Linked DNA regions of Sus scrofa. The protein of the gene in region 6 interacts with the protein of the main gene of each other region in a pairwise test. Links are inferred from orthologs where the notes say so. Each region holds a gene or a part of one and is shown on either strand. Other genes may lie near its edges.

Region 1 (4,206 bases), on a different chromosome or scaffold from region 6:
TTATTACTAATACAGATCATTTCGCATATGGCTTATGTAATTGGGAAAGCCCGATTTTTTTTTTTTTTTTTTTTTTTTTTTTTCTTTTTGAGCTGAGATTCTTTGAGTTGGAAGAAACACGGGGCTTATTGAGAAAGAAGGGACTAGAAGCCTGGCTCTACCATTCACTGTGGTGTTTCTGCGGTTGTTTGGGATAGTAAATTCAGGCCAGGTGTGGTTCAACAGTGCTCCAGATGAATGAATTTTAGACTTTTAGGAAAGAGTGTCGTCAGCATGACAGGAGGGTTTGTTAAATGCAGATCTCAAGCCCCACCTAAACCTCCAGAATCCCATAGATTTAATCAGCACATTAAAAAGGCCCCCCCTTATGATTCATGAGTATTAGGGTTTAAGAAGTACTTTTTAGACTAAAAGCAAGTGAAATAAGAGGAAGCTAGAATAATATGATAATCCAAAATAGACACATGGCACTCCCTAGTCACTGCCCTCACTTGTACCCACAAGACCAATTAACTGGGAGAGGTTATGTTTAAAGAACCATCTGGAACAAGGTGGGGCAAGACTTTTTCTTGTCGAAGAGGTTTAAGTAATTAGCTTTATTGTTTATAACAGGGACAAATGAAAGTTCCATACACTAAAAGCTCACCTCCAGGATCTTGCTACCTCACAGGCAATGCTGCCAATTTTTTTGGTGTCCGTGCAACTTCCATCTGCTACAATATAAAATCCCCTCTGATATTAGCCCCTGACCCCTTAGAATGAGTCATCTGTTAATGAATAACAGATATGCATACAAGAATCTGAATACAGGAGTTCCCGTCGTGGCTCAGCAGTTAACGAACCCGACTAGCATCCATGAGGGCGCGGGCTTGGTCCCTGTCCTCGCTCAGTGGGTTAAGGATCTGGCGTTGCCGCGAGCTGTGGTATAGGTTGCAGACGCGGCTCGGATCTGGCGTTGCTGTGGCGTAAGCCGGCGTCTACAGCTCCAGTCGGACCCCCAGCCTAGGAACCTCCATATGCCGCAGGTGCGGCCCTAAAAAGACAGGCCCAAAAAAAAAAAAGAAATATGAACACAGAAAGGAGATTAGAGTCAAGCCTCCCTTTACTTCCACCACCAGACAGGAAACCCCAAAGCCCTTAAAGCACCTGCACCCCTCATCGCTCCTTTCACTCCAGAGACGCCCCAAATCCCGCCCCGAGGGAAAAGAAGCCCCGCCCCCGACTGAAGGCCAGCCCCCACGTTTCCGGGTAAGGGGTGACCACGTGGTTGTCACCAATAACAACCCAGCACTACTCCCGCCCACTGGCTACAGCTCTCGAGCGATGATCGACTACACCAATGGGCCCTTAGAAGTAGTCTGAGCGACAGCCAAAATGACCAATTAATACGAGGTAGGTATGAGTCTAAGGCGGGACTCTGAGTACGGAAGCTGCCCCGAAACAGGAGGAGAGAGGGAAAGACCCGGTGAAAGGGCAAGAGGCAGGTGAGAACCTGGAAAAGCTCAGTAGTCTGAAGCGTGGCGGGAAGAGACAGTATTCCGGGCTGGAAAGGGTGCGGAAGGCTGCAGAAGAAGGGGCTGAGTTCTGGTTGGGGGTGGAGGGAGGGAACGCATTTAAAGGGGCCAAGGCCCAGGCTAAGGTAGACATTTAAAGGAACAGGTGCGGTAAAGAGAAGAGACATTTATTTAAAGGCGCAGATGCGCAAGGTAGAGCGGACCCTAGAGGAGCCGAGTTCGGCGGGCAGAAGACATTTAAAGTGGTAGATGTTCTGGAGGGAACATTTTCAGGAGACTAGAACCGAGCCTAGAAAACATAAAAAGAGGTATGGGCTAGGGTTTGAGAGCAGGTTTATTAAAGGGGCCGGTGTAAAGGAGTCGATTGTCAAGGGCCTAATGAGGAAGACGGTGCACTCCTGCTCTCCCCTATTGTCCTTTCTGGCTCCTCCAGGTTCCCTCGACCCCGGAACCCCTGTTCCCAGGCTATGACCCCCAGTGCCCTGTAGATCTGGCGGGCCCCCAGTGCTTGCGACCCCTATTTTGGGGTCTGGGTGGCTACTGGAGGGCCTTGCGGAGGGGCAGAGAAGGCAGGACCATGGCATCTAGGGCCTCTGAACCTCCCCCAGGGCGCAGCGTGACGGCGGGCATCATCATTGTTGGAGATGAGATCCTCAAGGTGTGTCTGGGACAGAAGAGGGGGGAGGGTGCAGCGTTCTCCTAACACGTTCTGTTAAGGGAGGGTGAACCAGGGTGGGAGCCCCCCTTGCTACCGTAGGGTCCTGGAGTGAGTCCAGTATATTGCAGGAAGAGTGACCTTCATTTATTCAATTACTCTGCTGAAAAACTTGTAGCAAAGTCCCTATAATTAGCCATGCTGTGTGGGAGGGGAGGAGAGGCTTTAACAGCAATGATGAGGAGGAATTCCGGGTGTGGCACAACGGGGATAGGCGGCTGCTTCTCTGGAGCGCTGGGCCACAGGTTCCAGTCCTGGCTGGCATAGTGGGATACAGTGGGTTAAGGATCCAGAAGTGCCGCAGCTGGACCATAGGTCACAACTGCTGCTCAGATCTGATCCCTGGCCTGAGAACTCCATATGCAGTGGGGTGGTGGGAAAAAAAAAAATGACAAGGAGTCCCATGTATACAGGAGGTATTATTTCAGAGTTATAGCCAGCCTAACTGGAAAATGATCCGAGGCATTCAGCAGAGTAGCTAAGTGGGATGGAAGGAAAGTACCAGAAGGGAGAAATCCCTTCTGAATGATCAAGGAAGTCTCATGAGAGGTCACGGTGAGCATCAGGTTCACAGTAGTACTATTACGTGCTTACTAGGGCCTGGCAGCGTGCTTATTACATGGCCTGTGTGGTTTTACTGATCCTCACAACAACCCCATGACGTGGGTATTTTTACTGTCAATATCAATGAATAGATTATGAGAATAAGGCTCAGAGTTGAGAGACTCACCCATGTGGAACAGCAGCTAAAAAGTGGTAGATGGGATTCCAACCCGATTCTCACTCCAGAGTCACCCTTAACCGCTAAACTCTGTGGAGAAGTAGAAGGAGATGGAGCTGGAAAGGAAGAGTGCATACACACCATAGACAGGCGGCCTCGAATATTCTGCAGAGGTATTTGAACTTTATTCTGTACAGGGTTGGAAACAACAAATGGCTTTTGAGCCAAGAGTGATGCAATCACAGTGACACGTTAGGAAGGTTATTCGGGACGCATGGGGCAGGGCGCTGTGGCTGGAGGCCGGGAGCCTGGCCAGGGGTCTGTCGCCACTGTCCAGGTGAAAGGTGCCAAGGACCTGTTTGGTGGCAGGAGGGACAAGAGAAGAGAGCAGATGGAGAGACACATTTCAGAAGTAGAGTTGACAGCATGAAGGGGCTGACTGGCTGTGGACAGTATCTGGGGATGCCATTGACCAAGGTGACAACAGCCTGGGTTGGGGGAAGGATGCCCAGGAAGCACTTGGAACCAGGAGACCGAAACTGTCAGAGTTGCTGAGGAAGTGGAAGAGCTGTCCATGTACGATTGATGATTGAATCCAGAAGCATAGATGAGGTCAAGGTCAAAGGACAGAGATGGAAGCCCAAGGTGGTTCACATCATCCCTGACTCCACATGGATCTTGCCACTCTTGTGCCCAGTCAGGGCTGGTGTCCCCCCAAGAGCAGAGGGCCCCACCCCCAGGCACATGCAGCCTCCTTCCTTCCCCCTCTGCCCTTCATCCCCACAGCACTGACACACTCGTCTTCCCCACCCCCCATCTCCCAGGGACACACTCAGGACACCAACACCTACTTTCTGTGCCGGACGCTGCGCTCCCTGGGGGTCCAGGTGTGCCGAGTCTCCGTTGTGCCCGACGAGGTAGCCACCATTGCAGCTGAGGTCACGTCTTTCTCCAGCCGCTTCACCCACGTCCTCACAGCAGGGGGCATCGGCCCCACCCATGATGATGTGACCTTTGAGGCAGTAGCACAGGCCTTTGGGGACGAGCTCAAGCCCCACCCTGAGCTGGAAGCGGCCATCCGAGGCCTAGGAGGGGAAGGCTGGGAGAAGCTGTCGCGGGTGCCCTCCTCTGCCCGCCTGCATTATGGCACAGACCCTCGCACAGGCCGTCCCTTCAGGTTCCCACTGGTCTCTGTCCGAAACGTCTACCTCTTCCCCGGAATTCCGGAGCTGCTGCGGCGGGTGCTGGAGGGGCTC
Region 2 (3,500 bases), on a different chromosome or scaffold from region 6:
GGGCAGAGTGCCTTGCCTGGATCCCGTCCAGCAGCTTGCTCATGCACCAGAAGCTGTCGGCTTCAATGCTTCGCAGCATGTCCTGAGACAAATTAGTCACGTCGAAATTCTCCACGTCCTCTTCTGTAAAACAAAAGGGGAAGAGAGTCCAGGGGTCTTCTCTGAAACGTGGAGAGAGAAGGACGGAGTCTGGTGTATTCCAACAGGGTCTTTGAGGCCAGGAGAGAGCTGGGCTGGTGTGATGCCAAAGACCGGGGCCTGCCCTCCTCCTCCCTTGTCAGGTGGGCCCAGTGTCCCAGGAAGGCCCTTGAGGATCTCATTAGGACACTGAACAGGCCATTTCTCACACCAGTTTTGATGGGTCCAACACATCTTTCTTTCCCACTGCATGTGTTCATTTAGTTTGAGGAGAAACACTTCAGGCCTCATGTTCAATGAGCTATATCCTGCCGCCTGGAGAGGGTCTGGAAAAATTCTCTGATTTCAGAAATTCACTGAACTGTCTGGCACACTCACACTGGTGAGAACGGCTGGGATCAGGTAGCCTCCAAAGTTCATTTTCAAGAGGGAATCCCCTTGGGCAGACCCATGGCCTTACCACTCAGAAGTGAAGATGAGAAGTTCCCATTGTGGCTCATTGGGTTAAGAACCTGACTAGTATCCATGAGGAAGCAGGTGTGATCCCTGGTCTTACTCAGTGGGTTAAAGGATCCCACATTGCCATGAGCTGTGGTGTAGGTCGTGGATGTTTCTTGGATCCCGCGTTGCTGTGGCGTAGGCCAGCGTCTGCAGCTTCAATTTGGCCCCTAGCCTGGGAACATCCGTGTGCCCCAGGTGTGCCCCCCCCCAAAAAAAAAGAAAAAAAAAAAAAAAAAAAAAGTGAGTGTGTGAAGTACCACAGCCCAAACCTGCAGGAGCTTCCAGGATTGAACTTCACCAAGTTGGTAGTTATTAAGCTGGGTTTTGCAAGACGTCAATCCTATAGGACACTCAAGAAAAAAGAGCTTCCACAGGAAATATGGGTGAGAAATGCGCGCTACATGTCCTCATTCTGGAGAGTCACGACAATCACAGCACACAAAAGGATTTGAGAAGTTACTAGAAATTCTGCATTAAGCAAATCTCCTTAACCTTGCTTATCCAGCATCTCCCCGGCTTCTTTAGCCACGGGACCTCTTTTGGCTTCTCATGGAAACCCCACACTAAGTGACGGGAGTGAGTCTGAGATGCAAGTGGGGAGAACACCTGAAGAAGGAAGAGGCCCTGTGATGTTTCCTTCTGCCAGAGAGAGTGGACAAGACAGGCCAGGCCGTCTCAACCCCCAGGCCCCACGTGCCGGTCAGAGGTCACATGTGGGTTCTGGGCCAGAGGCAGCTTATGTCCTTGCAGCCCTGTCTTGAAAACAGGATGTCCCCTGCAGTCCCTGGTGCTGCAGAGACACAGGCAAGGGACAAAATGCCTTCAGAATCCAGCCCTTTCGTTTAGGAGAATTATTACTCTATTAAGTCCTACAACTGGACCTTCTTGGGACAACCCTCGGATTCTCATCCTGTATAAACAGTGCTTTTTAATAAGACACCCAAGGGCTGTAAAAATCCTTCTGGGGAGGATGGGGTGTTTTGTCAGAAAAGCTATGACCCTGGGAACAATGTAAAAGTCCACAGTTAATACAAGTAAAGTGCTAACAGTGCTTGGCTCACAGTAGGCGCAATATAATTTATTTTAGATGAAGTTTATTAGGAATTCGTAAGGACATGGGAAAGCACGTCAGTGTAAAAGGAAAAGAGTAAGGTACAAAATTATTTATGGTATATTCTCAACTAGTGTACATACAGTATTTATGTGTTTATATAAGCACAGAGGAAAGACAAAATACATCACAAAGGTTTACAGTGCTTATTCCCCAGGTGGCAGGGATACGAATTTTTATTTTCTTTAAGACTTACTACTCAAAATTTCTACAATAAGCATAATTTTTATAGCCAAGAAAAAATGCACATTATTTTAGAAAAAAAGGGGGCTGCAATCGACTACATCTTCCTTTTACCACCACCACACACACAAAAAGATTCTATAATATAATACTAAGCCTGCAGAAATGGAAGACTTTGGATAATATGTAACGGTCCATTTGAGAAACCCAAACAAAAAATCCTCCCAAGAAATACTATCTTGGAGTTCCCGTTGTGGCTCAGGGGTAACGAACCCGACTAGCATCCATGAAGACTTGGGTTCGATCCCTGGCCTTACTCAGAGAGTTAAGGATTCGGCGTTGCCTGTGAGCTGTGGTGTAGGTTGCAGACGTGGCTCGGATCCTGTGTTGCTGTGGCTGTGGTGTAGGCCTGGGATGAGAGCTCCAACTGGACCCCTAGCCTGTGAACCTCCATATGCTGTGGATGCGGCCCTAAAAAAAAAAAAAAGAAATACTTTTTTTCCCTAACACTCATTACATAGTGGGGTTTTTTTTTGCGGGGGGGGGGGGTGAGGGAGGGCGGTAGCCATATGTATTAGTAATTTAATTAAATGATACTGGGCTCTAAGACCCAGCTCAGAATCTTCCTTTACTTTTTGCTTCATGTTTCAGTGCTAAGACCCTTCTTTTTTTTTTTTTTTTTGTCTTTTTGCCATTTCTTGGGCCGCTCCCGTGGCATATGGAGGTTCCCAGGCTAGGGGTCGAATTGGAGCTGTAGCCACTGGCCTACACCAGAGCCACAGCAACATGGAATCTGAGCCGAGTCAGCAACCTACACCACAGCTCACAGGCAACGCCGGATCGTTAACCCACTGAGCAAGGCAGGGATCGAACCTGCAACCTCATGGTTCCTAGTTGGATTCGTTAACCACTGAGCCACGACGGGAACTCCTGCTAAGACCCTTTTACATTGCTGTATATACCACTAGTTCCCGCCCTGCAGAAGCCACCACCCCTTTACACATCCGTCCCCCAAGGATGGACACCCAGGTGCAACTCCCACTACTGCAAACAATGGCCTAAGGAACCCATACAAGGGACAAAGAGCCTGGGTCCCTGAGCAGAAGGGGGAGCGCAGCTGCCACATGAGCCCTTTGCTGTCAGACAGAATAGCATGGGGATAAGAGCACAGACTCTGGAGCCAGACCTCACAGCTTAAAACCTGACTCTGTCACTCTCGAGCTATGTGGCTTTTGGCAAACGGCTTCACCCTCTGAGCCTCAAAACCTCACCTGGTAAGGTGATGATATCCTGCCAGGGTCGGTGGACATTATAAGGATCAAACAAGTTAGTACATGGAAAGTGCTAACAATGCCTGGCATAAAATGAGAATTATGTATATCTTAGCTAATATTACTGTTATTAAATGAGGAACAAGTAAACTTTTACCTTCTGTAGGGTGCTGTCATGTTAGATCTTTGTTATTTGTAGTCAAACCCAACTTAATTCCAAACATAAAACATACTTCTTTTTTTAAATGGCTGCATCTGCAGCATATGAAGTTCCCAGGCTGGGGGTCAAATCGGAG
Region 3 (4,199 bases), on a different chromosome or scaffold from region 6:
TGCACATCTAAGCATTCCTTTCGTTCTCCAAAGGATTCTGTAAGGTAGGAACTATTTTTTTTTTTTGTCTTTTGTCCTTTGAGGGCTGCACCCGCCGCACATGGAGGTTCCAAGGCTAGGGGTCCAATCGGAGCTACAGCTGCTGGCCTACACCACAGCCACAGCAACGCCAGATCAGAGCCATGTCTGCGACCTACACCATAGCTCACAGCAACGCTGGAACCTTAACCCACTGAGGGAGGCCAGGGATTGAACCCGCAACCTCATCGTTCCTAGTCGGATTCATTACCGCTGCACCAGGATGGGAACTGCAGGTAGGGGCTATTTTAAAATCCATTTTACAGATAAGAGAACTTTGGTCCAGAGAGCCTAACTGGGCCGAGATCTAAAATAGTAAGTACTATGGATGATGCCCAAAGTTATTAAAGATGGAAGAAAATGGGGGAATTGTCCTGCTGCCGAGCAGGTTAAAGATCTGGTGTTGTCACTGCACCAGCTTGGGTCGCTGCTATACTTTGGGTTCAGTCCCTGTCCTGGGAATTTCCTCATGCTGCCAGTGCAGCCCCAAAAGAAAAAGAATAAGAAAAAAATGGGCACACTCATACACTGCTGATAAGGGCATAAATTGACTGAAAGTTTATCGGGGGCAGTATAATAATATATATCTCTTCCCTGATGCGATAACTCCATTTCAAAGAATGGATCTGAAGGAAAGAATGGAAAATTGGGGCAGGATGTTCTGTATGATAATGAGTGAATGTTAGTTATACTTTGGGTGTTTTTGGTTTTTTTTTTAGGGCTGCACTCACGGCATATGGAAGTTCCTAGGCTAGGGGTCGAACTGGACCTGAAGCTGCCGGCCTATGCCACAGCCACAGCAACCCAGGATGCCAGCCACGGCTGTGACCTGCACCAGAGCTCACAACAACTCCGGATCCTTAACCCAGTGAGCGAGGCCAGGGATCGAACCCACATCCTCATGGATACCAGTCAGGTACCTTGAGCCACGAGGGAACTGTTATACTTTGATTACAGATGTTTTAAAATTCTTCATGGCTCAACAGGGAACAATAGTTACAATATTTCATTAAATAGAAAAATCAGGAGTTCCCATCCTGGCTTGGTGGAAATGAATCTGACTAACATCCATGAGGACACAGGTTCCATCCCTAGCCTTGCTCAGTGGGTTAAGGATCCAGCGTTGCCATGAGCTGTGGTGTAGGTCGCAGATGCGGCTCCTATCTGGCGTTGCTGTGGCTGTGGCATAGGCCAGCAGCTACAGCTCTGATTCTACCCCTAGCCTGGAAACCTCCATACCATATGCCCTGGGTGTGGCCGTAAAAGAAAAAAAAAAAAAAGGTGGAAAAGAAAAATCAGTTTGAAGTGTAGGTAGGGGATATCTGGGAAATTAATAATATTCTCTATTTATTTATTTAGCTTTTTAAGGCCGCACCGGAGGCATATGGAAGTTCCCAGATTAGGGGTCAAATCGGAGCTACAACTGCGGGTCTACCCTACAGCCACAGCAACGCCAGATCCAATAGCCGTCCTCTGTGTCACCTCCCAGAGGAATATTATAGGCTAAATCCCAGACCCCTCAACACCGCCGAGCCTCGTCCTCCCAACTCACACTCACTCGCTGGCCCCACCCAGGGCAGTAACTAACAATCCCAGGCCCGCCCCCCCAGAACCCGGCTCCGCTCCGACCACGCCCTCTGGACGCCCCGCCCCTGTCACGCACCCTCCTTGGGGCGCAGGCGCAAAGTGGCGCCCGCCCTGCGTACCAGCGCCGCCACGTCCGCCGCAGCTCGGGCCGCCAGGGGGCGCGCGTCCAGCCGCGCCAGCCGCTCCCGGGCGCTGGGGCCCGCGCGCGGAGGAAGGCCACCGCCTGGCGAACGGAAAGGGCAGATCAACGCCCACCTTCAGTCTCAGCGAGCCCCCACGCCCCCCGATGACCGAAGACCTAGAGTGGCCATCAAGATCCCGGAGACCCGGGACCACTCTTCCACAGTTGCGAAGGTCACCGACTGTCCCTCGCTTGCCCGTGGACCCCGCCTGCCCCCAAGATATCTCTGGACTTAGCTGTTTAACCCCAGTATTCCCGGACCCCTCCGAACACCCTGTGGGCATCTCTGGAGGTGTCCTACTGCCCCCTCCCCCAACTGCCGCCAGAATCCCAGATCCCAAACTCTTCCCCGCCAGCATCGAGAAGGATCCCGACTCTCCCAGAGGTCCCGACAGAACACGGTCCGGCCCCTGTGGCCCCGGCACCCCCGGTTCCCCTCTAGATAGCCTAGGTACCCCTGCCGGCCCACGTAGCCCCGGATTGCCCCTTCCCATATCCTCGCAGGGCCCTGCCTAACCCCCGGAGGCCACCACAGACCCTGCCCGAGTGCCCAGGTGTGTCCAGTGACCCCGGGCAGACCCCCTCCTGCACCTCTCCCCGGACCCTCCTGAGAGCCCCCGGGTCTGGTGCACCGCTTCGCAGCGCGGGTGCGGGTAGGGGGCCCAGAGCCCAGCCCGGGTCGCTGGGGCCCTGCCCTCTATCGCCGCCGCCGCCGCCACGGCCGCCGCCGCCCCTTGGGCGCCAGGGCTGCCTTGTTTACCACCTGCCAGAAGGAAAAGGTGACGAGCAGACAGGCGGGGCGAGGGCTGGCAGGGACGCGTCCACTCGCTCCCGTTCGCCCCGTACCTCCTCCGCTCCCCCTAGGGTCTGTGGCGCCCCCCGCGCGCGGCTCCATGACCTGTGCTCGGCCCGCTGGACGCACGGACGCCAGTGGCGTGTTGGGAGCGCCTGGGCGAGCTCACCTGGCCGCCTGCCCGGGCCTGGACGCGGCTGAGGCCGGCCGGTCCCGTGCTCAGGCGCCCCAAGCAGCGCGGTGACCTACCTGGCGGCCCGCAAGGAGGCCTGGCCCAGGGAGGGAGCCCGCGCGAGCCCTTGGCCTCGCTCTGCCGCAGGCGCTGCCTCTCTTTCCCAGCACCGTGGGAAACCTCTTTTCCACCCCGGGGATGTCGTCATTCCACGTGGGAGAGGGGGACGTCGAGGCCCAGAGACGTTCAGGGCCCCTCCTGCGCTCTGACAACTGGAAACTGGATGCGGACCCCGAACCCACGTTACCCAGGGTATTCTGCAGCCTCCAGCAGAGCTTTGCACATCGTAGGCACTCAGTAAATTGGCGGGGAATGTGGGGCTGGGGGGGAGGGTGACCTCGGAGGCTTGGGGGGCCACGGGAGGGAGGCGTCAGGGCCCTGAGCATGATAGGGTTGGGGGATTCCAAAGGTAGGGAAGGGTGGGTCTCCTGGAGAGTGGAGGGACAGTAGGGGGCTGGACTCGAGGAGGCTTTCAAGGCACGTGGGTGGAGGGGACCCCAGGCAATGAGAGGGGAGAGAGGAGGCCCGTCCTAGGTCTGAAAGGGGGTGGGGGTGAGGGGCTCTGGAGACAAAGGCCCCGAGGGGGGAATGCTTGGGCACAGTGGTCCTGTAGTGGAAGCAGGAAGGAGGAATGGGGAGCAGGGAGAGAAGGCCTGTGGCCACCACTTTGTGGAGGAAGAAGCTGAGGGCGGGAGGGACCCAGGGCCCCTCCTCAGCCAAGGGCAGTGTGGGTCTCAGGCCCTTCACCCCCGACAGTCCCTTGGCCCAGTTACTATGTCACCATGGGCTGTGGACGGGCACACTGTGTCCTGGTGTCCATCCTGGCTGGCTGGGCCACCTCTCGCTCCCTCCTTTCAGGGTCCTGGCGGTCCTTGTCGGTGACATGGCTGAATGGTCCCTGCTTTCATTCTTCCTTCGACCCCATGCGCCTCCCATCTCGGACCTGCCCTTGTCTGAGGGGGACACACTGGACCCCCTTCACTGCTCTGCCCTGTTCTTGTGACCCCATGGGGCTTTCGAAGTTCCCCAGCTATGCCCACTGTCATTCCACCTCCCTGCCTTTGCCCATGCTCTTCCCTCTTCCTAGCAGACCCTTCACAGCCTCTATGATTATTACACTGTCATGATTACTGTGGCTCTATAGTATATATTGAAGTCAGGTATTTTAATTACTCTTCACTGTCTTCTTTTACAACATAGTTTTCTTCTTTGCATTTCCATATGAAATTTATTTTACTTATTTTATTTTTTAAGGGCCCCACCCCTGAATGTTCCCAAGATGGAGTCAAATTAGAGCTGCAGCTGCAGGCCTACACCACAGCCACAGC
Region 4 (3,803 bases), on a different chromosome or scaffold from region 6:
CTCCAATCTATCTTACAGCCTTTGCAATCTTGGATTTCCCAGCCCCAGGAGAAGAAGGGATCATTGTGATCTGGCTTTGACTTTATTATATATGTCTTGGTCAGCACCTCATTTCTGAAGTATGGATTGGGTAGGAAGCAAAACTCAAATGTGTAACTTATAGGCCGGCCAGGTTTTGAGAACTTCAGGCTAACATCTGACAGGAACTTCAGAATGGGCTCATCATACTTCTGAATCATGGGTCCCAGCTTGTCAACATTCTTTAAGACAGTCAGCCAATAGTCGGGAATGCCTTTAGGATCTTCTCTTTTAGGCTTTCCTTTGCGAGCTCTTTTCAGAGCCCTTTCTTTAGGCCTGACCTCAGGAATTCTTTTAGGAGCTTCTTTTACAGCAACCCTGGCCTTAGTCGCCTCTGTTGCTTTAGGCTGCTCTCTGTCTTCTGCCTTTGCTTGGGGGGCTTCTTTTGGATCTTCCTTTACTTCAGGCTTGGCCTCCAGAGCATCTTTAGACTCTGCTCTTTCTTCAGCCTTTGCCTCGGGATTTTCTTTAGGGGCTGCATTTTCTTCAGCCTTGACCTCAGGTTTTGGTTTTGGGTCCTCTTCTTCCTCACCCTCTAAGGCAGGCATTTCACTAGGGCCCTCTTCCTGCACTTCCTCATCACTGCTAAACACCTCATCCTCCGAATTCCATTCACATTCTTCCTCCGTGGGCTCATATTCTGCATTGATGATTTGGAATCGCCGATCATACAGAGGCCTATTGAGTTCGGCATATTTTCTTTCGAGCTCGTGAATTGCCTTTAAGAACAGGGCGTCTACCTTGTCACATTCATCTTGAATATTTCTGAGCGCCTGCACACGATTTCTAACTGCCCGAGGCAGCTGATCCACGAAACTTCTACCCGACGGAGCCCGCCGCGCCCTTCTGGAAGGCCCAGGTACCCTCTTCTTTCTATAGAAACGGCTGCGGCTATTGCTGCTGCTGCTGCTACTGCTGCTGCTGCAACTAGTGCTGCTGCTAGAGCTGCTGCTGCTGCTGCTGCTGTCAGATTCTTCCCCAGAATCGCTAGACGAGCTAGCCACCATCTCTTCATCCACCCCCTGGGCCGCAGCTCCCGAGACCCTGTTAGGATCCGCTTCTGCCATTCTGCAAGCCTGCAAACCGCTTAGCGTGGTGACTACCGCGCGCACAGAGATGGGCCGAAAATGACTCACGGATGCTTGGGTGGCAGCGGTGGAGGTCGGGGCAGCGGCGAAGGCAGCAGGAGTGCAGGGCGGGGTGGGGCTGGGCTGAAGCCGCGGAGGCGGCAGCGACACTGGAGGCCTGAGCAAGAGCGGCAGAGGTAAGGGCTCTCCCGGCTGCAGCTGCTGCGGACCGAGGCGTGCCTCAGCCGAATGGCGCAGTGCGAGACCCCGAGATCTCTTCACTACTAAGATATTGAACCCCCCCCTCCCCTAGCCGTCAGACCTCCCGTTAATTTCGTTCCCAGTGTGCCCTTTAGCTCTCACCTCATTTGCTAGGCATGCTTGATCGACAAACCCTCAGGCCAATGAGTAGCCAAAAGCACCGCCCCCTCCAGACTCCGCCCACCTTCCCAGACGCTCCTAGGTAGCTAAGGCTCATACCCCAGGAAGACGTTTTTCCCCCTCAAAATTTTATCCTTATAGTTTTATAATTCAAAAAAAAAAAAAAGCTTAGCTATGAGGTAAAAATACTAGTCATGGTTTCTAACAAGGGAAGAGGAGTATCCTTCTCCCATCTGCCCTTCATTAATTCCCGTTTGGTTTGTCAGGGGCCTCGTGACAAAAATCTGTTTTTTAAAAATTGGATGAAAATACTCCAAATGACATCTTTGGGTAGTGTGCTTGTGGATGATTTTTTAATTCTCTTTCTTCTATCTAGATGTTCTATGAGCATGTATTTTTACACTGGGGGGAAAAGAGGGAGTCGTTTATTGGCAAAGCGGGGAGGGGCTAGAAAGCAGGCATATTGCCTTCCACGTAACAGTTTTAATAAGTGCTGTCTGTGGTGTTTGGCAAGCCTGGTTTATATCCATCTACAAGGTTTGCGAACCCATGTTGCCGTGAGTCAGTTACACCATTTTTTACTATATTTCTCCTTTTAATTTGGCGTGTAATAAACCCCAACCTTGCTGCTGATTTGCCACGTAGTCCTTCTCAATGCTTGTAACAACCTTGTAGATAAAATAAGAGGGCATTCAAATGTTAGGTAGTATTTTTTAAAAGCAGACGCTTTGTTCTATACTTTCATGCAGCACTTTTCCATTCCAGGAATAGCAGGATGGGAGGGGGAGTCTGTGCTGATGAAACTGCATCCTCTGTCAGGGTATACTTTACAATGTCATCTGCCACCAGTTTCCTTCTAAAATTGTAAAATGCTAGCCATACTAAAGTATGATTTACAAATCCAGTAATATGTGAATAAACTTGCAAAATGAAGTTTAAAAACAGCTGTTATTTTTATTTGCAGGATTCTTTTCTGCCACAGAACAACTCCCTTGGTACAACCAAAAAGACCCGTGTTTACTTTTCATTAAAAGGTAAGGAACATATTTAGCCCATTTTTATGAATGACAAGAATTACCTATATATATTTGAATAAAAATTCACGACAGAGTCTTTTAAAGACTTAATTGGAAGATAGTTCTATGTAAGCAGAAAAATCCACAGAGGTGATTTAGAATATTAATGAGGAAAATAACCTAATTAATGACATTCACTTTCTAAACCTGCTCATAGAAAGCAAGTAGCAAATTAAAACATAACATCTGATGAATTATTCATTTCAAATGAGGAAAAATATTAAAGTAAGATTAATCTTTATGTTGCTTCTTTATTATAGGATTTGTGCTTAGTCATTTAGTCATGTATTTATAAATTAAGAAACACTTTTATTTTCTATTTTGTAAATGAATTTAGTTTTATTGTTTATTCCTGATTGTCAAAGTATGTAAGCATTGTAAGGGAAAATACAATATAGAAAATTAAAATAATAATAGAAATACACAATTTTAATCAAATGATAACTATTGTTAGCATTTTGATGCATTTCCTTCTGGAATTTTCTTTGTACATGTACATGCCTGCCTATTTATATATACTGTTTCATCTTGTGAACTTATGTTTTGTAACCTGTGCATTTATCAGTTAATTGTGGCTATACTTTCATAGAAACCGATCAATATTTTATTTTAAAATAGATGCATATTTCATGGAAATATTTGCCTTAATTTACTTAACCAGATTCCTCTTGTAGGGCAGTTACTCCCTGCACCATCTTTCCACTAACGTACATTTTCCTGTTGTTAAAAAAGTTAACCCTGGATACCTGCTATATGAACTTGTAAAAACTAGTCATCTGATGAATTCCTAGAAATGGAAGTGCTAGAATGAGTTGTATTCTCATTTTACTCTTTGACACATATTGCCAAGCTTCTCTCCAGAAAAAATGATCACAATTTAAAATCCCAACAATAATGCATGAGTTTATTTAGCCATTCAACTAATATATTTTTGTGCCTGCCACGTGCCAGGCACGTGTGGTAGAGGATAATGATATAATGCTGAATAAAACTTAATGGGTGCATATCCTCTCATTCTATAATTTTCATTAAAATATATACTATGGAAGGTATGATTTAAATCAATGAAATTATGCTATAAATATTGTTCTACAAATTATTATTTTTTTAAATGATGGACATATTTTGTTAATGCTTTATATTTTTATAGTACTTTAATGATTTCATATATATGTTAAATTTTATACTATCAAGAATCAGC
Region 5 (4,290 bases), on a different chromosome or scaffold from region 6:
CGGGAGCCCTTGGCGGGGATGCTTTCTCTGTTTGTGCCCTGCCAGACCCCAAACTTCCACGGTGTGGACAGGGCTGCCCTGGGTCCCGCCACAGTGCTCAGTGCCCTTATGCTTAGCACGGCCCCTCTTGGGCTCCCCTTAGCCAGACCGCCCTGGGAAGAGTGATAAACTCAAGACCTAGAGTGAGCATGCTGGTACTACACATGTGGCCAGGAGATATCCAGAGACCCAGGTCCCCTCTTGGAGCCTCAGGGCTCTCAGCCTCGGGGAAACCCAACAAGCTGGTAGGATCCAGGACTTGAGTCTAGGCTGGGCCCCACACGATGCTGTCCCTTTTTCTCCCCCATCTGCCACCCGCCTGGCTCAGGTATTGGGGCAACTCTGGAAAATGAAGGCCAGAGAGGGGACGGGACACTGGAGGAGGGCGTGGCCAGATCAAGATGACACAGAGGAGCCCGCCCTCCCACGTCTGCCTGGGATGGCCAGCTTAGAGACACCTGCCTGCCTGGTCCTTGAGACAGAGGGTCAAGAGGGGGCCGAGAGGCCTGGGAGACTCAGCTTCCCACCAGGAGGACCCTATCCCCACGCCCATCCTGCCCAGCTAAGCCCCAAGGTGATCCCAACCCTACCCGGCGGGCCCTCCCCGATGTTGCCCGGCTCTGCCCCCGCTGGAGAGATAGACCTGGAGGGACGCAGCCTGCTGGAGCTCTGTCCCTCACAGCCACCATGCCCACCTCTTTCTCGACTAAAGTCTAAACTCCAGTCTACAGGGCTAATCTTCAACCCCGGGTTGGGTGAGGTGTCACTGTGGCACAAGAAGTGCTAATCCCTCCATGGCAGGCTCATGCCAGCTGCCCTCCGCACCGGAGCTGGCCAAGCCTCCCCGAGCCGCAGCACCAGGAGCTGAACTTTGACTGGGAAGCAAGAGCTGCTTCTCTGATCACCCCCTGCGGTCTCTGCAGGGCTCTTGGCCCCTCTCTTACTGTCCCCACACCCGCCTGCCCTGCCCAGGCCCTGCCAGCCGACACCCCACCTGATCCCTTCTCTCTGCTCCCTGGCCTCGCTCCCTCCCTGTGGCAACGCCCCCTCGGCTGCGGTGTTCTAAGACCTCCTCCAAGCCCTACCCAGACTCTCAGGCCAAATCTCCCCCTGCTGTGGCCCAAGCCAGGTCTGAGTTTGCACTTGGCTGAAGGTCTGGAAAAGCCCAGGTCTGCGACAGCAGGCAACTGCCGCCAACAGCCAATTAGCTGTGCTAAGCGGCCCAGGAGGAATTCTTTTCTGCAGCTGCCGCTGGGTCACCCACATCTGCTTATCCTGAGTGCCCCCAGGCCGGGCCCCATTTAGTCTGAGAGCGGTGGGCACACGCAGGCACATACTCGCCCCCACACATGCCTGCCCAGCAGTATAACGGGCTCACAGACACAGACACGCTTCCAAAAAAGACTCACACAGGAGTGCCCAGGTTCCATGGGCTCGGAGACCCATGAGGGTGGCCATCCATGCGCGTACACGGCTCACACCCACCCACACACCACACCTCTCAGTGCCCGGCCACCGCGAATGGACCCAGAGAGGGGGTGAGAGGGCCCTGCCCCGCCCCTGCCCCTTGCTGTAATCCAAGAAAACCGCCTGCACACTGTCCAGACAGGGTTTTCACCCCCATCTTTGTCCCCCACCTGGGGCCAGAAGAGCAAGAGGAGCTTTTTCCTTCAAGGCAGTTGGTTTGGGGACCTGTGCGAATGTGGGGCTGCTGGAGCAGCCCCAGGGGAGTCCTGCTCACACTGTCACGGACCCACACACATGCCCGGCCTGTGGTGCAGGGAGGCGGGGGACAGCAGACAGAGTTTCCCTGGGGTCCAGGCCGCATGGGGAGGCAGCTGCTGCACAGGGAGGGCTTGGGGTGGAAGGGAGCAAGAAACCAGGGTGAGGAGCTGCTGGCCCAACCACTAGCTGCCTCCAGAGCTTATTTCCCATAATAGAGGCCCGCAGGGGACACTGGCAAGACCATTACGCTCTGGGTCTCCGTGTCCCACAGTGCCTGGAAGAAAAAGGGCTCTGGACCCAGGCACAGCTGAGTTCCAGGTCAACTGAGCATGACCTCCAGCAACCTCTCGTCCTCTCTGTTCCTCAGTATCCCCATCTGCACAGTGGGCAGAGGATGAAACCGGCGGCATCTCAGCACCATTCTAGAGCCCCGGCGCCTGGGACCACCCCACTCACCGAGTTCAGGCCAAGGGAGTTGCCGGGCAGGGAGGAGGTGATGCCTGAGAGGATGGCAGTGGCGACGATGGCCCCCACACACTGGGCAATGATGTACATGACAGCCCGGAGGACACTGATCTGGCAGCTGAGCAGGAGCCCCAGCGTGACGGCCGGGTTGAGGTGGGCGCCGCTGATGTGGCCCACGCTCTGGGCCAGCGTGGCAATGCTCAGCCCAAAGGCCAGCGACACCTTCACGTTATCCTGGGCCGCACCTGAAGTCTGGTTGTTCCTCACGGGGTACTGGAAGCCCAGGGCAGAACCGATGCTGATGAAGATGAAGAGGGTCATGGCCAGGAACTCGGCCACCACCGCCCTCCAGAAGATCTTCTTCTTGAACTCGCTGGCCATGTTGGCAGGGGGCTTGGCTTGAGACGGCTGCCTGGTGCTCGCCTCTCTCTGAGAGCTGAGCCACAGCCGGGGCTGGGCCTATTTATAGGGCCCCCCCGGGGGGGGGGAGCACAAAGGGAGGAAGGCCTCTCCTTGCTCCTGGCCCGCCCCACACTGCACGGGCCTCCTCTCAGCGATGGATGCAGACACAGCTCTGCTGTCGGCCTGCCAACTTTTTTTCCCTTCCTCCTCTCTCCCCTCCCTCCCTCTCTCCCTCCGCCCTCAGCCCTGCCCAGCTCGAGGAGGCAGGCAGGAGGCAGCGTTTCTCTAATAGGCTTTGAGAAATTCCTCCAAGTTGGCCCCACTCAGGGGGCCAGAGAAATCCAGGTGTCCCTGCCCTGTGTGCAAAGCGCAGGGGGTGCCCGAGGGCAAAGCCAGGCGCTCCGGATGGGGCGGGTGAGCGGCTAGGTTCAGCAGGTGGACGTTGCCCTCCTAGAGGCGGGCACCATGACCCTGCTGGTCTGCCATCCCCATCCAACCCCAGAGAGGCCTGAGTCTGGAGTCCACAGGTCCAGGGGTCCCCAGCGGCAGTCTGCGCCTCCCATACCTGGCCACTAAATGTCACCATAGGAATGTCCCAGAACCCTCAGACCACCGGCCAGGCCTCAGTTGATGGGGACACAGAGGCATCAGGGGGTACAGAGAGCTCATCTACAGACCACCCCCCACTCTGTGGTCCAGGGCAGGCCTGAGACAGGCTAGGATGCTCCCTACTCTGATTTGAGCGAATGATCTTGCGGCAGCTGGGGAAGATGAGGGCAGGCAAGGACTTTCCTCTCGAAGCCTATGAAGCTGGTGGACCACTGGGGAGACAGGAGGAAGGGCAACCTGACCGGAAAGCCCCGGAGGGAAAGGGGAGGAGAGAAAGGGGGAAGAGAGGTGGGAGCACGAAAGGGAGAGGAAGAGACACCGGGGCCCAGAGGGGAAGAGGCAAAGGAGGCAACGAGAGGCAGAGAGACAGAGGGAGGAGGAAGGACAGTGGGATGTGGAATCAGCCGAAGCAGAAGTGAAAGGAACAGATCCCCAAACAGTGATAGGGAGACACTGGGGACTGAGAAGGAGAGACAGAGACAGCACAAAGCGCGAAAGACCACTGGAAAGAGGGGACACAGGACTGGACCCAGAGGTGAGAATCCAGAAGAGCAAGAGGAGAGAGCAGAGGGGAAAGGGGAGGGACCGGACACTGCCTGGGGCAGGGGGAGGGAAGAGGCAGCTCTAAAGACCATGCCCGCCCCCCACCCCGCCCCATAGTCCAGCCTTGCGCCAAAGCCAGAGGCCCAGCGGCAGCCAGTGAACTGAGCAGGAACCTGGACTCCTGGGCCGGAGGCTGGTCAGGAACCCCAGGCCCAGGCCACCAGGCTGCTGCAGTGCGTCTGCGGGGAAGAGGAGCCAGGCAGGGCCCTGGGGGCAAAGCTGCCCCAGGAGGGAGGGGCCTCCCTGGTCCTCTCCTCCGGTCTCCTGCCAGCCTCATCACAGCCCTACTGGAGAAGGCGGGCTTCTCCCCATTTCACAGGTGGGAAACTGAGGCCCAGTGAGCGGAAGGACTTCTCTGAATTGTGTGTGTGCCAGGGCAGGCATGAGCACACGGGTCCTGTTCAGGGGCCATCTGCAGAAGACGATGCCAGCCCCCAATGGCCTCCC
Region 6 (4,207 bases):
AAGAGAAAATAATAATAATAACAATAATAATAATAATTTCATATCGGATTTGTGTCTATTTTTCCTAATGATAAAAACCCTGTCAGGAGTTCCCACTGTGGCTCAGTGGAAATGAATATGACTAGGAACCATGAGGTTGTGGGTTCAATCTGTGGCCTCGCTCAATGGGTTAGGGATCCGGCGTTGCCATAAGCAGTGGTGTAGATCGAAGACACAGCTTGGATCTGGAGTTGCTGTGGCTGTGATGTAGGCTGGCAGCTGTAGCTCCAATGAGACCCCTAGCCTGGGAAACTCTGTATGCCACGGGTGTGGCCCTAAAAAAAGAAAGAAAAAAAAAGCAAAACAAAAACCCTGTCATAATCAACTCGTCCATTAAGCAGGAAGCCATTTTCCATGTATACATTAGCATTATATACTTTAACTTTTACCTTCCAATAAATATTGCTTGCTTTCATCTATGAAAATGACAATAAGATTTTTATTTTATACCAACATATTTCTTAAAAATTATACCATGAGGATCTTGCCAAAAACGACTATCCTATTGCACAGCTTAGGCACAGTTTACATACAAAAATGAAAATTAACAAAATGAGCCTGTACTATAACAAACTGTGTTATAACAAACCATAACAAACTGTGTTATAACAAACCACAGTTACAGCAGGCTTTGGTGTATTTCTGAGATTTTAAGGCAAACAGGGTAACAAAACAAAAGGAGCTAACAGCAATAATATCTATTTCAATTAAGAACTTGTTAACTGAAGTTAATTCACAAAATAACATACAGGTATTCTCTACTTAGAAAAAGCCTGGAGTTACCCTCGTGGCTCAGTGGTTAACGAACCCGACTAGGATCCATGAGGATGCCCTTTCGATCCCTGGCCTCACTCAGTGGGCTAAGGAGCCAGCGTTGCTGGGAGTTGTGCTGTAGGTCGGATCTGGCTTTGCTGTGGCTGTGGCACAGGCCAGCAGCCCATAGCTCCGATTCACCCTCTAGCCTGGGAACCTCTATATGCCATTAAGTGCAGTTCTAAAAAGCAAAAAAAAAAAGAAAAAAAGAAAAAGAAAAAGCCTAATTTGGAGTTCCCATCATGGCTCAGTGGTTAATGAACCTGACTAGTATCCATGAGGATGCATGTTCAATTCCTGGCCTCGCTCAGTGGGTTAAGGATCTGGTATTGCCATGAGCTGTGGTGTAGATCACCGATAAGGTTCAGATCCTGCACTGCTGTGGCTGTGGTGTAGGCTGGCGGCTACAGCTCCAATTGGACCCCTAGCCTGGGAACCTCCATGTGCCACGAGTGTGGCCCTAAAAAGACAAAAAAAAAAAAAAAAAAAAGGAACACTAAGCCAGCTATAATGGAAAAAATAAAAATCATTATTAAGTAAATAAAATTTAAAAAAGAAAAAGAATAATTCAATAAATAAAAACTCAACCATACAACAAGCTTAATAAGAGCGCTCTTCTGCATTTCAGATAGTCTATGTACTTCAGAATGTCATTAACATATAAAGGTCAGATGAATCAACAACTACCAATACTGATTAATACAGTTGTTAGCAGAAATGTATCATTTGATGTCATATAAAACCAACATTAGGTGAAAAATCATAGGTGTCTACTATTTAAGATTCTAAGAAAATTTCAGATATCTGACCCAGTGGTTCTGAACAGTTTGTGCATTAAAACCACTCTGGGAATGAAAAAAATACACTGATGTCAACTTCATCAGAACCGGGGGCCTAATTTTTATTTTTTTTTTTTTTAAGTCCTCAGCTATTCTAATATGAAGTCAGGAATAAGAATTTTCAATAGCACAGATTATAAATCTTCCTAGCTTATTCTATAAACCACTGAAATCAGTTCTCCCTTCCGAATCTCTATTTATCTATATATGGAAAAACGAATTCCACATATTTCAATTGATTTCTTAGTAAATACATTTTAGAGCATCTACACATGATACAATTTCAAAGTTCAGTCATAGGGCAATTCACATTCCCCAGAGTTAATGGGACTTTTGGAGACTTCTCAAAAGTGCTGACAAACTGTACTACAAAAAGAAAGGAAGGAGCAGGTCAAGCAAAAATAGAGCTCTCATTACAGAAGTAATACGATAGTGAAAAGTGTACTTTAAAGCCAGTCAGCTGTGGCTCCACTATACAGTGTTATTCGAAACTTTAGTTTCCTCACCCGTAAAACGAGAATCAACATTTACCTCTAATAGATATTAACGATCTTACATACCTAACGTAGTACCTGGCAATAATAATGGCTCAATTTAATTTAAAAAAAAAAAAAAAAAAAAAGGCTAATCAACGCCTGTTGGGCTGAACTACAAGCAGAGGACCTGGAGAAAGACCAGCCCAGGTCACTCTAACATGTCGATAGGCTCCTTTTCACAAATGTCCCCGTTGGCGACTCCAAGCAGAAGACTAGCATGACCAGGAGACCATGCAACCTCAGGCCTCAGGAAGGGAGGGCAAAGCTTGTAAAGCCGAGAGGGGCCCAGAGGGCCGCGCATACCGGCCCCCAACAGCCAGGGCCGCTGTAGTGCCGCCAGATCTCCGGCATGAACTGGAGGCAGATGGCGGAGAACAGAGTACGCAAGGTCCCTCACCTTCACCACCGCTGTCCCCCGGCTGCCCTGACGACCACTGTCTAGTCCCGCACCAGGCCTGTTTACAACCAGGGCAGCCATCCTAGGAGGTGCAGTGCCGCAGAAGCAGCAGTCAAGGCCTTCACTAAGAGGCGGGGTAGAGCCACCTACCCAGAAGCCTAGGCGCTCGCTGCTGGTGCACAGGCGCAGTACGACGCGGAGAAGCCGCGGGGCCGACTTCTTCGCTCCTCCTTCTGGCACTCGTTTGCTGATTGGCTGCACACTCTTCAGTGGATGCGCTTTGTTATTTTGTTATTATTGAGGAGTCTGAACTTGATAGAAGGAACAAAATTAAGGGAAAAAAGAGAGGATAAAACAGAAGAAAATTGTTGGGATGAAACTCCTACCCCAGCAATGACTTCTTCCCTCTAACGAACGGAGACCGGGGACTACATCTCCCTGCATGCCATGCGGCTTTTAAACTACAAATCCCAGCGTGCCACATTTATATCAATTACTCTGCAGTGTAGGTATTTGGGAGGTTGTGTATTGTTACCGTGGAGTGCTTTCTTGAAAGAGCGGCGTGTGGCTGTGGCTGGAAAATAGAGAAGTATTTTATGTATAGGCCTGTAAGAGGCAAGAGATGACTTTGGTAAAAAGGAGCCGTTGGGTCAGTAAAGGACGTGGTTAGAAGAGTATATAAGGCGCTACCGGCAGACAGAAACTGTTGGGAGTGTCTTTAATGCCTTGTCTTCACGGACGTGCGCTTTTCTGTTTTCTTCCGGGCTGTTTGAACCGCTTCAGCCTCCGTAGGCAGTGGCTCCAAAGTGCCGGTCACAATGGAAGTGAATCCCCCCAAGCAGGAGCACCTGCTGGCCTTGAAAGGTAAACTTTGCGAACCCGGCTCCCAGTAATCTGTTTTCTCCCCTTCTCTCACTAGTTCTCGAAGCTTCATGGCACATAGACCTGCCTCTGGAATGTAGGCCTCGTCCTTCTTAAGCACTGTCAGTACTCGTCCTCCTCTCTGTCCTTGGGCGCCCAGCGTGAGGAAGCCGTTTCCTCGCTTTGGGTTTTGAGTTTGAGAATCGCCCTGTAAAATGGAATAGATACGTGGTAAATTACTTACTCTGTTATATGCTGCTGCAGTCACCGGAGAGATTTTTGGCAGTAGTTGACCTCCCTACCCTGGGGAGAGCCCTGTCAAATGAGACCATTAACAGCGGGTATCTAAAGTGGTTTTTTCCTCTGTCTCTTATCTCTTGACGCGGCAATGACAGTGTTACCAGGCTTCAGCTTCATTTGTGAAATTTAGTCTAGTTATTGTGCCAAGGATTTAAAAATACGTAATACCACAACATATAATTTAGGTTTGTTAAAAATCACTGCAGTTTACTTCAAAGTATTGTGTATATGGGAATATTCGTGTCAGTTTTCATTTTCTGTACACAGCAAACAACTTCGAGTACGTTTGATCATTTAATTGATTATTATTTAGGGGAAACTAGCAGGGCTTACTTTTCTGGAATTGTTTTCTGAAACTTTTTATTTGAAATGCTTTCAGCTTTATTTCATCTATTTTTTATTACCACAAATGCATTTATTTC
Region 7 (4,145 bases), on a different chromosome or scaffold from region 6:
GTCCCTTTCCAGGCTCCCAACCCCCCCTTAGGAGAAGCTTAAAGCCTGGGCTGGAGGTAGGCACCCCAAGGGGCAGGTTGGGGGGCTGGAGATCCCGGGACAGTGAGAGCAGGTGAGCGGTGGATGTACGGTGGTTAGAGTCTTGGAAGTGGGCATCACAGGTCTCACAGTACTGGGGGGAGAGGGATCGGGGCCTGCAAAGAAAAAAGAATGGTTAAGGGCAACACAAGGATTGAGGCCTCAGGAGGGTGGCAGGGTTAGGTCCTTCCTGTATTTCTGCTGAGGAACAAATTGCCTTCCTCCCCACTTCATGATAAGAGACCCAAAAGGGAATAGTTGAGCCAACAGATGTTAAAAAGGCTTCACAAAGTTCTTGGGTGATGAAAAATAACAATAGTGACCATAGCTAGTGTTGGTATAGTGCTTAGTATGGGACAGGTGCTTTTCTAGCACTTTACATATATTAACCTATTTGACCCTAACAACCCTAAGAGAAAGGTGCTTTTATTGCTCCATTTCTTAGATGAGGAAACTGAGGCACATGGGTTAGGTTGCTTGCCCACGTAAGTACAGTCAGGATTTAAACCCAAGGAGCCCATGCAATGTGGGAATATAGCAAATATACGTGAACTATACTTCAATTAAAAAACTTAAAATTTTTTTTGTCTTTTTTAGGGCCACACCTGCGGCATGTGGAAGTCCCCAGACTAGGGGCCAAATCAGAGCTGTAGCTGCTGGCCTATGCTACAACCACAGCCATGTGAGATCCGAGCCTCATGTGAGATCTACACCACACGACAATGCCAAGATCTTAACCCACTGAGGTCAGGGACTGAACCCTCGTCCTCATGGATACTAGTTGGGTTTGTTACCACTGAGCCGCAATGGGAACTACCCCAATTTTTTTTTTAATGAAAAAAATGTTTTATATAAAAAATAATCCAAGGGAGTATCCTGTTCATAATCACACTGCCCGATCAGCCTACATTAGGGAACAGGAAAGTAAACCCTTTGGCTCTATTCTGTGGCCTCCTGTGTGAAGTGTGAGGAAGGGCAGAACACAATGAAAGATAAGGCTTCCCCTTACCGGTTCTCTGGACTCCTTGTCTCTCCGGGGCTCTCTCTGACCATGCGGGCCACTTCAGGGAAGCCTGCTTCTTCCGCCAGCTGAGCAGCATCCCTGCCACCCAGCTCGCAGACCCCCACCCAGGCCGCCCCACGGCCCAGGAGATAGCGCACAGCTGCCCCCTGGCCTGCTCGGGCAGCACACATCAGTGGGGTCCACCAGAAAGCATCTCGAGCGTTGATATTCCCTCCAGCTCCCCCTGCCTCATGGGGATCCAACAGCTTTTTCAGTTTTGCCAGGTCCCCCTCCTGGGCTGCCCTCAGTATCTGCTGGGTCATCTTGTCCTCTGCCTCAAGGGATCTCCTTTGTCCATCTTCTCCTGATGCTCCTGCTGTAGTCTCCCTCATCGTTCGTCTTTTCTTCCTCTTTCTAGCAGGCTCAGGCTGAGATCTCTGGGGCTCAGGGGTGCTGTCCTCGTCCCCAATCAAAGCTTCATAGAAAGCCCGGGCTGCAGCCCCATCCAGGGTGGGCTCCAGCTCTTCAGGGTGTGACTGCAGTTGCCCATCTTTCCAGAGATCACTGGGGTCAGTGGCTGGGGTAAAGTTAATGAGGGAGGACCCGGACATGGCTTTGGGGAGAGTTGGGAAAATGAGATTAGGCAGGGGGAAGCCAAGTCCCAGATGGTCCTGCAATGACCAGAATCACCTACAGACACCTGCTGGGATAAAAACAAGTATCCTTAGAATCAAAAATCCCCTCCCGGGAGTTCCCTTCGTGGCTCAGTGGTTAACAAACCTGATTAGATTCGATCCCTGGCCTCAGATCAGTGGGTTAAGGATCCGGCGTTGCTGTGAGCTGTGGTGTAGGTTGCAGACACGGCTGGATCCTGCGTTGCTGTGGCTGTGGTGTAGGCCAGCAGCTGTAGCTCCAATTCCATTTCTAGCCTGGGAGCCTCCATATGCCACCGGTGCAGCCCTAAAGACAAAAACAAACAAAAACCCTCCTACGCGGAAAGTGAACCCCGAGGACCACGGATTGTGTAAAAATAGGAAACCCTATGGTAACAGACCATGCCCCTTAGTAAAGGTTAACAAAGTAGACTCTGTAAGACAGTTGCCCAGAAGTCCTGTGCTCTGCCCCCACTCCATCCTCACCATCAATAATAACAGCCTTTCTCTGAAACTACTTTACAACTGCGCGGGACATACCATTAAGGAAAACAATCAGCCTGGCTCTTTAAATCTTCCTGGATCCTATTTCGGGGTATTCTTAAACAAAAACAGACTTGACATTTGTCCGGAAGCAGGAAGCCGATTCGCGGGGAGGTTCCACTCGTTGCTTTGCAGCTTCCGTACTGCAAAATGGCGCTACTCTAAGCAAAGGCGTCCACAGTCAAAGCCGCATGCGCAGCTGAATGGGGAGCGGGCGGGGGACAAACAAAAACAATACTGGAGCACGCAGGCGCGCTGCTCCGGGCTATTTCCCGCCCTGGAATCTTTCCAATAACACAAGCGCAAAACGCCACGTGCCCTGGTAGCGCGAGGATCGAGAAATATCTGTCGGTTGGGGTCCTGCTTTTACCTAACGCCCCCACAATGCTCTTCGCCTCCCTCAACGTGGCCCCCGCTCCAAGCTCATTTTCTGGACCTGGGAAACCACCCTCTGGGTTAAGAAAGGCCCTGAGGCGGAGAATGCCCAGAAGCCGTGAAATGAAATAGTCACGCAGCCCCTCACCATTAATCTGACCAGGGTTGGAAGGTCGCACTTAGCACCCGCAGCAGAAGGCCCTGTTCAAGCCTTAAAAGGAAATGGAGAAGTGCAAGGGGACGAGCAACAGAATGGCTGGCGCCACCTCAGGTTAGCGCACGGGACCTTCCCGATTCTCACACCTCTCAGCTCAGCCAGCACACCCTACCCAGGTCCCTCAGCGCGGAACCCGGCCTCACCTCCCACCTCAGGAGATCAAACCCTTGAGTGAAATATGGGCCCCGTTGAGGGTCTCCTTGGCAGGCTGACTCGGACAGGGGGGCTCCACAAGCGATAAGGGCCAGGCAGCTGGTCGGTGATGAGGTCAATGGTCTGGGTAGCAGGGCCGCACGCCTGAGGCTCGTTGTGTGAGAGGGAGCGGCAGTAAATGATCCAGCCTGTCTTGTTCCTTTCCCCGCCCCCTCTCAGCCCCACGGTGATAAGATCACTCGACTATATTTCCCAGGCTCCCTGGCCCAGAACACGGTACTGCGTTTCCGCTTCCGGTGGCGGCTCCCTACGCCCCGCCCCGGAGCGTTTCCCTCAGGGGCCTCGCGACACCAGGGTCGTGGGCGGGTCGTCCTGGGATTCGTAGTTCGCCCTTTCTCAGTTGCGCCAGTTTCTAGCTTCCGAGGACTCCATCTCCCGGCGTTCACCGCGGCGCACGATTTTAAGCGCTTGCGCGTTGCCCTCTTCCCCACCCTCCCCAGTTTCCACTCCCCCCGCCCCACTTCGCCTGCCGCGGTTGGATCCGCGGCCTGCGTTGTAGCCGTCGCCGCGGTTCCTTGGAAGCAGAAACTCCCCTCCCCTCCCCGCCCCCCCGGTCCCAGTCCCCGTCCAGCCGGTGAGTCTGAGGTCGTTGCCGCGCCGCGTCCCCTGTTCCTGGGCGCGGCACAAGGGGTCTCCGTGCCTTGATGTGGGGGTGGGGAAGGAAGTGACCAGGTCCGGGACCGAAGGAAGGAGGGGGTGGTCTGAAGGATGGAGGCGGGATAAGGAGACTCCCGTGAAAGGGACCTAACTGCCATCCCCAGACTTTGAGAAAAAGAGGAGCTTAGCTCTTGCCTGGAAAGAAACTTCGGAAACCTTGGGAATGGGGCCGGGGACAAACGGAGACTTGCGGGGGTAGGGAATCTGAGCCGCAGGCCCTGCTGGAGTTGACATAGAGGAGAGAGGGGCCTGGCCTTGGGGAGCGTTAGGGATGTGGATAGGACTAATGGGTCAAGACCTGCCGGTTACACACAAGTGTTGGGACCCCAGAGAATTTCCTGTCTCTGAAAAAAGGGGTTGAGGTGTGAATAGGAGGAGCTGGAGAGAACTGCTCCAGTCTAGGATC

The links.
Region 1: the proteins of TRIM23 (region 6) and FLAD1 interact in binary tests that used the Homo sapiens proteins (3 or more experiments, as listed by UniProt). The two-hybrid records come from large-scale screens. The link is inferred for Sus scrofa from reciprocal best matches to the Homo sapiens genes TRIM23 and FLAD1.
Region 2: the proteins of TRIM23 (region 6) and TBC1D22B interact in binary tests that used the Homo sapiens proteins (3 or more experiments, as listed by UniProt). The link is inferred for Sus scrofa from reciprocal best matches to the Homo sapiens genes TRIM23 and TBC1D22B.
Region 3: the proteins of TRIM23 (region 6) and GPKOW interact in binary tests that used the Homo sapiens proteins (3 or more experiments, as listed by UniProt). The two-hybrid records come from large-scale screens. The link is inferred for Sus scrofa from reciprocal best matches to the Homo sapiens genes TRIM23 and GPKOW.
Region 4: the proteins of TRIM23 (region 6) and FAM133A interact in binary tests that used the Homo sapiens proteins (3 or more experiments, as listed by UniProt). The two-hybrid records come from large-scale screens. The link is inferred for Sus scrofa from reciprocal best matches to the Homo sapiens genes TRIM23 and FAM133A.
Region 5: the proteins of TRIM23 (region 6) and AQP1 interact in binary tests that used the Homo sapiens proteins (3 or more experiments, as listed by UniProt). The two-hybrid records come from large-scale screens. The link is inferred for Sus scrofa from reciprocal best matches to the Homo sapiens genes TRIM23 and AQP1.
Region 7: the proteins of TRIM23 (region 6) and GPANK1 interact in binary tests that used the Homo sapiens proteins (3 or more experiments, as listed by UniProt). The link is inferred for Sus scrofa from reciprocal best matches to the Homo sapiens genes TRIM23 and GPANK1.

What each region holds. Positions count from the first base shown.
Region 1 is NC_010446.5:94,810,621-94,814,826, reverse strand, and holds the start of FLAD1 (FAD synthase), read left to right. Parts: upstream 1-1,406; 5' UTR 1,407-1,484; exon of another isoform or gene 1,485-1,552; intron 1,553-1,947; 5' UTR 1,948-2,091; coding exon of another isoform or gene 2,092-2,172; 5' UTR 2,173-3,621; coding exon 3,622-4,206. UniProt on the Homo sapiens protein: Catalyzes the adenylation of flavin mononucleotide (FMN) to form flavin adenine dinucleotide (FAD) coenzyme.
Region 2 is NC_010449.5:32,891,178-32,894,677, reverse strand, and holds part of TBC1D22B (TBC1 domain family member 22B), read right to left. Parts: intron 124-3,500; coding exon 17-123; intron 1-16. UniProt on the Homo sapiens protein: May act as a GTPase-activating protein for Rab family protein(s).
Region 3 is NC_010461.5:43,189,039-43,193,237, forward strand, and holds the start of GPKOW (G patch domain and KOW motifs-containing protein), read right to left. Parts: upstream 2,801-4,199; 5' UTR 2,742-2,800; coding exon 2,610-2,741; intron 2,537-2,609; exon of another isoform or gene 2,384-2,536; intron 1,889-2,383; coding exon 1,742-1,888; intron 1-1,741. UniProt on the Homo sapiens protein: RNA-binding protein involved in pre-mRNA splicing. As a component of the minor spliceosome, involved in the splicing of U12-type introns in pre-mRNAs.
Region 4 is NC_010461.5:76,148,349-76,152,151, forward strand, and holds the start of FAM133A (protein FAM133A), read left to right. Parts: upstream 1-1,500; intron 1,501-1,584; exon of another isoform or gene 1,585-1,608; intron 1,609-1,614; exon of another isoform or gene 1,615-1,705; intron 1,706-1,725; exon of another isoform or gene 1,726-1,856; intron 1,857-1,890; exon of another isoform or gene 1,891-2,083; intron 2,084-2,490; 5' UTR 2,491-2,560; intron 2,561-3,803. Other genes in the region: NAP1L3 (nucleosome assembly protein 1-like 3), read right to left, coding at 1-1,145.
Region 5 is NC_010460.4:42,073,942-42,078,231, forward strand, and holds the start of AQP1 (aquaporin-1), read right to left. Parts: upstream 2,801-4,290; 5' UTR 2,611-2,800; coding exon 2,221-2,610; intron 1-2,220. UniProt on the Homo sapiens protein: Forms a water channel that facilitates the transport of water across cell membranes, playing a crucial role in water homeostasis in various tissues.
Region 6 is NC_010458.4:44,143,492-44,147,698, forward strand, and holds the start of TRIM23 (E3 ubiquitin-protein ligase TRIM23), read right to left. Parts: upstream 2,801-4,207; 5' UTR 2,706-2,800; coding exon 2,625-2,705; intron 1-2,624. Other genes in the region: TRAPPC13 (trafficking protein particle complex subunit 13), read left to right, coding at 3,443-3,488.
Region 7 is NC_010449.5:23,777,547-23,781,691, forward strand, and holds the start of GPANK1 (G patch domain and ankyrin repeat-containing protein 1), read right to left. Parts: upstream 2,801-4,145; 5' UTR 2,275-2,800; exon of another isoform or gene 1,862-2,274; intron 1,785-1,861; exon of another isoform or gene 1,782-1,784; 5' UTR 1,693-1,781; coding exon 1,088-1,692; intron 195-1,087; coding exon 1-194.